Linked DNA regions of Sus scrofa. The protein of the gene in region 1 interacts with the protein of each later gene in a pairwise test. Links are inferred from orthologs where the notes say so. Each region holds a gene or a part of one and is shown on either strand. Other genes may lie near its edges.

The links.
Region 2: the proteins of FLII (region 1) and LRRFIP1 interact in binary tests that used the Homo sapiens proteins (3 or more experiments, as listed by UniProt). The link is inferred for Sus scrofa from reciprocal best matches to the Homo sapiens genes FLII and LRRFIP1.

What each region holds. Positions count from the first base shown.
Region 1 is NC_010454.4:60,474,365-60,478,764, reverse strand, and holds the start of FLII (protein flightless-1 homolog), read right to left. Parts: upstream 3,044-4,400; 5' UTR 2,979-3,043; coding exon 2,916-2,978; intron 1,374-2,915; coding exon 1,263-1,373; intron 974-1,262; coding exon 902-973; intron 1-901. Other genes in the region: MIEF2 (mitochondrial dynamics protein MID49), read left to right, coding at 3,230-3,452. UniProt on the Homo sapiens protein: Is a regulator of actin polymerization, required for proper myofibril organization and regulation of the length of sarcomeric thin filaments. It also plays a role in the assembly of cardiomyocyte cell adhesion complexes.
Region 2 is NC_010457.5:137,419,016-137,422,814, reverse strand, and holds part of LRRFIP1 (leucine-rich repeat flightless-interacting protein 1), read right to left. Parts: intron 2,834-3,799; coding exon 2,741-2,833; intron 1,424-2,740; coding exon 1,282-1,423; intron 1-1,281.

The DNA.
Region 1 (4,400 bases):
TGGCCTTTGCTCTCACTCCCAGGCTTGGCGAGCCCTTCCTAGCCTACGAATAAGCTCCTATTCACACCTCAAAACCCAACCCAAATGTACCCCAGAGCCCAGCACAGGGCACCTCAGGGAACTTTTCTGATGGGAAAGCCCCTCTTCCTCCCAACTCCAAAGAGCAAGAGAGGGATGCAGCTCTGAGTCGGGGCTCTGGTACCAAATGGGAGGACTCGACCCAAACCCGGTCAGAGCGCAGCCTGGGAGCACGTCTGCTTTCCTCTCCTCTCAGACCTGCAACCGCCTCACGCTTCAGACATGAGGTCAGTGCAGGATGGCTGAGCGGGGGGGACCAGGATCAGGACTCAAGTGACAGGAGGAGTAAGAGCGGCCACCGCTGCTGCCCGCCCCGCCCTAAAGCCCATGCGGGGCCACTCAGCAGTCACCACTGGACCACCTCGAAAAGCGGCAGGGACCTGTCCAAGGCCACCTAGCCGAGAAGAGACAGAACGCAGATGCGAACCGGGACAGCCCAGATTAAGGGCAGCTCACTTGAGCCATCATGAGCACCTCCCCTCCCAGCCCAACCCCAGCCTGCCCAGCTCTCCCACTGCCTGGCGGGCTGATCCTGGGCCAGGGACCTGCCTCCATGGCCAAGCATCCTCAGCTGTGAACTTGCTGGGCGCGGGGATTGTGTGAAAAAGCCCTTCTGGGAGGGGTGGCAAGGGGCTTAATCAGCATCAGCTGTTACGTAGTTGTTTACAACAGGTGGCATTTTGAATTTTTACCTTTTCCCTCACGGGTTACTTAACCCAAGGAAGCCTCCTTTCCCCCACTTCAGGAGAGGGTCCCTGAGCCTGACGCGGGGTGGACGGAGGCGCTGGTCCTGCCCTCACCCCCGCCCTAGGGCAGCACTCACCCGCAGCGATGGCAGGCTAGACAGATCCCCGTGAAGCGTGGTCAGGTGGTTGTGGCTTACTGACAGGTGCTCCTGGGCAGGGACAGGGGAGCAGAGGTTCAGCAGGGTGTGCGGGCTGTCCCTGTGTCCCTCCCTGCCCCAAGACCCACCCCCCCATGGCCACAGGGGCCCAGTCCACGCTGTAGCCTCCCTCCCTCCCAGACCCAGACTCTTCTTGCACTCCTCTGGGGACGGGATGCTCACTCCCTCCCCACTAGCCCTGCCTATGGCCGTTGGCATCCTCTGCGTCGTCCGCCCAGGCTCTGCCCGCCCGGCCAGCCCCATCCACAGGGACCCTCCCTGCTGGCCCAGAGATTCCTACCAGCTTCTGCAGGGCGGCCAACTCCTCCGGCAGGTAGCACAGGCCAGTGCGGTTGAGCTTCAGCCATCGCAGACTGGTCATGGCCTTGACATTCTCAGGGAAGTAGCCACCCTAGGTGGTACGTCATGATGACGCTGGTCCGGAAACGGGGTGCCCCTGCTCTACCACCCCCTGTGGCCTCCACTGCCCATGGGGGCTCTTGTGGAGCAAAAGTCATCTCTGACTGGTTGTGTGACCCTGGACAAGTCACTTTGCCACCCTGTGCTTTAATTTCCCACCCACAGGATTCATAAACCCCCCCCACTGGGGAAAAGCGTCATGACCACCAATTAACATCCAAGACACCTGCTGCCCTGAGACCCGTCTCTCTTGTTGGAACCTCAGCCCCAGGAAGCCTTGTTCCAGATGACACAGCCACTCCCAACTATGTGCTTAGATGGGCTCCATGCCTTTGCCTGGCATCCCGAACCTGCTGTGGCACCTGGGTTAGGGGTACCCCTCAGCTTCTCCAAGGTCCCACCTGTGCTCCCACCCTGCCGTCAGCACACAGCTCCCCAGCCCCGCCAGTCGCCCAGCCTCAGCCCCGTTGGTTAGTTCACTCATTCGCAGCTCTTCCCACAACCAAATGCCCACTCAGTACCCCCACCCTTGTGGCATGGGGCCTAGGCAGTGTGTGCTTTCACTGCCCTTGGCTGGTGTCCCCTTCCCCCTACGGCTACAACTCCCAGCTGGTGACTCAGACTCTCCCACTCTGTACAGGACACGTGGGGACCCCCAGACAGGATGGTGGGCAGGAGGCAGAGGAAAGTGGTATGGCTGCCTGGGCACAGGGTCAAGGGTGCACACAGGGAACAAGGCAGGAAGAAAAGCCTGCCTCCTCAGCCCTGGCCCGACCCCGGGGTCCCAGCCAAAGCCTGGGCCGCTGGGCCCTGCACACCCGGGCTGACACTATACTGACCCCAGCCGGAGTCTGCCCACTGGCCCATCCTGCCGAGGAGATGACCCTCTTGGAGCCAGGCTGACTCTGGCCTCTGCTGCTGCCCCGCCTCCTCTCCGGTGCCCAGCCCTGCCCGCCTGGTTCCCGGTCTCCAAAACAGCCTCCCTCATCCCCAGTGCCTGGTCCTTGAGACCCAGGTTGTTCAGTTCAGCAGCTGTTCAAACAACTGCCGCCTGGGTCTCGACACCTGCCAGACGCACTCGCCACGAAAACGCATCCCTGCCTTCGGAAGACTAATCTCAAGTGCCTTCCTCGAATGAGAAAGCGAGGCTCGGAGAAGGGAAGTGACTTGCCCAAGACCACACAGGATGGGGGTGGCAGGAGGGGGCAGGGCAGTGACGGCGGCGCGGCCGTGAGTCAGGGCTCCGCTCGGGCGTGTGACCTCACAGGGGCGGGGAGGGAGGGCTGGGGAGGCGGGGGCACAGGCTCCCGACCCGGGCCGGCTGGGTGGGGCCCGGCGCCTGGACGGAGCCCGGTGGGGGCTCTCCGCGCGCGCCCGCGGCGTTCTGCCTGGGTGCCCGCCGCGGGCGCGGGACGGAGGCGCGGCGGTCGGCTCGGGACGGGGCCCAGGCCCAGCGAGCCGGTCCGCGGGTCCGGGGCCCGCAGGAAGCGGAGGGGCGGGCTGGGGGAGGCCCGGCCGCCGCCCGGGGGCTCACCTTGAAGTCGTTGCCGCTGAGGTCCACGCCGCGCACGAACGGAAGCACCCCGGTGGCCTCCATGGCGGCGCAGCTCGGCAGGCTGCGGGGCGCGGGCGCGGGCGGCCGGCGGCGCTGGGCGGGGCGGGGCGGGGCGCCGCGGGGGCGGGGCGGGGCGCGCGTCGGCCCCGCCCCTCGGCCTGCCGCCGCCGCCGCCGGGCCCTCTGCTCCGGACTCGGCCTCGGCGCCCGAGGCTCAACAGCCGGCGCTTGCTGGCTCCCGGGCCCCCGGTGGCTCGGGACCCAGGCCTGGGCGCACGGGGCAGCGGGAGTTGGATGCTAGGGTCCTCAGCCAGAGCCGCGGGCCTGCCTCCCGTGAAGCGCTCCCTGGGGCGCGGCGCCCGCGCTTGGAGGCGACTCCGAGTGCAGTTACGTTCTCATTCGTCCCCCGAGGGAGGCGTCCCCTGGCTGGCACATGGCAGCCCCAGTAGGCGACAAGGCCGCTGTGCCCTTCACGAGAAAGGCAGCAGCAGACCACAGAGACCCAGAGGCCCGCAGGGTGCGTGCCAGCTAGAAGGAAGCTCGCCTTCTCCCCCGTCGCGGTTGGGAGCGCGGCCCTGTCCCTTTAAGAAGCAGCGCGCCGGGAAGCCCCGCCCCGAGGAGCGCGCGGCCGCCATTGGCTGAGCGCGCCTCAGGGCGGCACGTGGGCGCAGGCTTCGAGCGCTCCGATTGGAGCCAGAGCCTGCCGGTCTGCTCGCCGGGCACGCGCCCGCCCCCCGGGCCTCCGCGTTCGGTTCCCGGGTCTTTCACGTTCCACTCCCGGACGGCCCCGGGGTGCGCGGCCCGAGCAGGCCCCCTGTGTCCGCCGGCAGGTGTGCCGAAGCCGCGACGCAGGTACGGCCAGAGCGTGGGGGCGTGGCCTCCCTGGGTGCGCTCTCCGGCCGGGAAAGGGCCACTGGTGAAGGGCTGGGGCTGGCCTCCGAGCTCGGGTCCTGTCTGGATGGGTCCTATCCTGGGTCCATCCTGGCGTCCCCAGGGCCTCGGTGCCCTCGCCAGCCGGGGCTTGTAGGAGGAGGGGAGGCCCGGCCGCGCCCTCTCCCCTTCGCTGGTTGGGGTGTGCGCAGCCCCCTCAGGAGCTGGGCGGTGACCCAGGTCAGGCAGGGGGGCGGTGGCAGTACTCATCTCCGACGAGGAAGCCTTCCAAGGGCCATGCTGGGTCAACCCCGGCCGTCTTTCCTATTTTTAGTTTGGGAGCGAGGCGTGGGTGCGGGGCTGCAGGCCCTACCTGGCAGCTGAGCCGGGCACCCGCCCAAAGCAGGGCGGCCAGAAGTCCTTGGGGTTGAGTTGGCTCTGAGCTAAGAGTCATCTGCTCAGGCGTCCTTAGCTGTCCTGCCGGGCCGTCTGACTGGTGTCCTGGGCTTGTCTCTTGGTCACACCCTCTTCACTCGGTCCCACCCCAGCTCATCCCTTCCAGGCCACTTACTTTAAACCTTTCCTAGCGCACCTG
Region 2 (3,799 bases), on another chromosome or scaffold:
GGCTGTGGTCGCTGCGGAAGCATAGGTTTGATCCCTAGCCCGGAACTTTCATATCCCATGGGTGTGGCCATAAAAATAAAATAAAATAAAATAAACACAGATATTGGGAAGTTCCCATAATCGCTTACTGAGAGGGACAGGTGATGGAATACAGGTGGCAACCACTTGCAAAACAGATGTTTCTAGTTGCCTAAGTGTTCATGACACAACGGCTATCAAGGATTTAAAATGTGTATTTGAACAAGAGCCGCCAGTCAAATTCCAGCTGCTCAGGCAGCTGACACAAAGGGAGGATGGACCTTCCTTAATTTACTTTCGGTGACTTTTACACAGTGAGAAGAGCTGTGTTTCTTTAAGAGTCATCAAGACAATGAGGCAGCTTCCTGGGGAGCTGGGGCTTATAGGTTTCTTCATTTTCATGAAGAACTTTCCAAATGGAAACCAAAGCCATGGTCCCTGACCTTATTCCAGCCTCACCGTGAAAAGCCGGCACACAGCTGGTCACCACTGACCGGCAAGGCCTTATGTGCGGCTACAACTTCAGGCTGCCCACCAGATTCTGAAGGTTTATCCCAAAGCCAAGCACCATGACAAACATTCACTGGTGAATCTTTTCAGATATTTGAAGGTTGTATGAAATATTCCTACAATCTATCAGGTCCTGCAATTTATAGTCTTGCAGAAGCCCAAACATGACATGCAAAGGAACATCGCCCCCTGATGAAGGGGCAGACATAGTCAGGTTCTTGCTGGTGAGGAGAGCCCTTCTCGCTGGGCGCCACCCAGGGCTCTGTCCACCTGCTGTCCGTGGGCACCTCACGTGCTCAAAATGCTTCACGGTGCACAGGATGGGCAGTGCAGGCTCGCCCACGTGGTCAACCAACTCACTTTACAGCCTCTGCTGCTCTGATCGTTTGGCAATTCTGTAAGGCGAAAAGCCCTACCTGCCACCTACCTATCTGAGGAAAACCCAGAGAATGCTCTCGCTCGCTTAATTCCGAGATTATCTTCCTCGCACGCGCAGCCTCCCTGGGAGCTTTGAGGAGCAAAAGACACGAACTCTCAAGCCGCTGGTGGTGAGCATGAACAAAGGGACACGCCAGACAACACACGTGGGTGACTGCATCGTTGGGCAAGGAAGCGCCCACGGAGTGACAGGACGAAGGGCATGCTGGGTGGCGGTTAATCGGTCAGTGATGATTCTGTCCATTCTAACAGAGCATGGAGGGTGCATCAGGGCTGACCGGAAGACGAATGGCTCACAGCAAGGCCAGCACTTACCTAGCGTCCCGTCCCCGGGGGCCTGGGGAGCGCCGACCTCCTCCTTCGTCATCTTCGTAGACCCTGGGTGTTCCACACGGCTGAGAGGGTCTGAGGTCTCGCCATTGGTGGCTGTTTCTGAATTGAGTATTATCCCGTGTTTCTGGGAATAAAAACAGGCTCGTCGTAATACTCACCGAGTGATTCTAGGTTAAGCTGCGTTTTATAAGTAAGAACGAATAAAACCCCTGTGTTTCCCTAAGCAGGGAGAGACGCAGACGGAGCGGCTGGGCACACCCCTGTCAACAGGCCATCCACGCTCAGGGATGTGGGCTGGCTTCCTCCAGGGGCACTCCTGCCTCACGCCTTCCCATCCACGTCCGAACGTGCTGGTGACGAGACCCGTTCAATGCGCATCCTTTTGACCTAGACGTGGTGGCCTGCAGGCCGCCACGAAGCGGAGGGTCAGGCAAAGCCCTGTCAAGTGACCTTACTTCTAGAACCCTGCTTGTGTTCTTGGTCAGGACAGACAAAGACAGGAGCACGTACGTGTTCGGAAGAGAATGAACGAACCCTGGCGGCTAGAAGGTTGGCGGCATTCGAAAGACGTCTAACTCCTGCTCACTATGCGACAATGCACTTTTTTATTTATTTATTTTTTGGTCTTTCTTGGGCCACACCTGCGGCATGTGGAGGTTCCCAGGCTAGGGGTCCAATCGGAGCTGCAGCTGCCGGCCTACACCACAGTCACAGCCACGCCCGATCCTTAACCCACTGAGCGAGGCCAGGGATCGAACCCGTGTCCTCATGGACACCAGTCGGGTTCGTTGACCACTGAGCCACAACAGGACCTCCGCAAAGCACTTGAAACACGGCTACACTTCGCAAGGCCAGGAGGCCCCCCTCCCCACGGATCCCTCCCTCCCCCTCGTCCCCCCTGCTCTTTCTCCTGGGCTTGGAGGAACTCCCTGGCCCTGAAAGCCTGTTCCCTGCTGGCCGGAGGCTCTGGCCTTGACCCTTCCCTATGAGCAGCTGACAGTGAGGTTTCTGCTGGCAGCCACACCATCCAGGCTCAGCGCGGGGAGTTCGCCCAGAGCTCTGACCCCCAGTGCTGCCCGCTAGTTTATCTTACTCGTCTGGCCAGCAGCTGGAGACCCCATAACAAGGCCCCGCAGGATGTGGAACTTCCTTACAGTCCTGGAGAACTACACCGAGGACAAATTTAGACGGCCTATCGGAAAAACTCTTAGAAATCAGAGTTGCTGCCAAGATCCTATGTGCTTGTAAGCATCTAAAAGCAATATGGGCGAACCCACAGAATCCACACGGACGCCGCAGTTCTCGTGGGGTCAGTGAAGCTGCGGTCAGATTTTACTAACAGGCAAACATCCACAGCCTGAGATTAAGGGACATCACGACACACAGTCGTCCTTGAGAGTCCTGGGGTGGCTGTCGTCTCTCCTGGACTTCGGCTCCATACCTTTAATTCCTCTTTTAGCACGACTACTTCTTCTCTAAGATCGTCTCGTTCGCTCCTTATGGAATCAAAGAACTCTTTCTGCCTCTCTAACGCCTGAGTGTGTACAGAGCAGAGAGAGAGAAGATTCACACAGGTGAGCGGATGACATCCGAAGCAGGACCGAGAAGGAGGCTCCTACCATGCAACACACTAAGCGTCAAGGCACATTCCAGGCAAAGGGCTTGAAGACACACACACCGTGCAAGCACCAAGCGCGCTCTCAACTCAGGCCGCCGAGCAACAGCGCTGCGCGTGCCCTCCAGGACATCAGCATCCCGGAGGCACGGACGCCCCGTCCCACATCTCCTCCTGGCCTCGTTGGCAGGGGCACAGCAGAGAGAACCAACAGAAGCAGTGCACCCATTTAAATGAGGGGGAAAGAAGAAGAAGAAATGCTCGATAGCCCCCAGGGACAATTCTTTTAGTAACTTGGACTATTTCTGTAACTGATCCTCCGTCTCTGCTGTCACGGATAAAGAGTGGTCCTGAAGCAAACACACACGCACAGACAGGCACACAGAGCCCCGAACAAGTGTCAGCGAGCACATCAGAGCGAAGGCGGGGTGCAGCTTCGCGAGGCAAAGGCGTGGAAGGTTGCGCCAGCGTCTAGAGATCTCTACCGGGGCCGTGTGGTGTGAGGTCGCTGTATTCGGGGAGCCGTTGGGCATCACGGCCATCACCTCATTCAGTGGGTTCCCTTCTCCCTGCTCATCACTCCCAAGCACAGGTGGGCTGCCTCCTCTTTCCTTACGGAGGAGGGGGTCTGACATCTCCCTGGGGACCCTCAGGTGGGGATGCAGGGGTGCAGGACCTGCCACCCTACAGCTCCCTCGAACCCCTTTGAGAAAAAGCCCAGGCCACACCGGCCAGGGGATCCCAAGAGGTCAGAGCCTCCACGCCTGGGGGACCCTCCCAGAGCCTCACTCTGACCTGGGTGCCACTGGCCGCTCCCAGGCAGGCAGAGCATCAGCAGGTAATGCTGACAAAGCGAGTGCTTCCGTGCTGGGAGTCAGCTTCCAA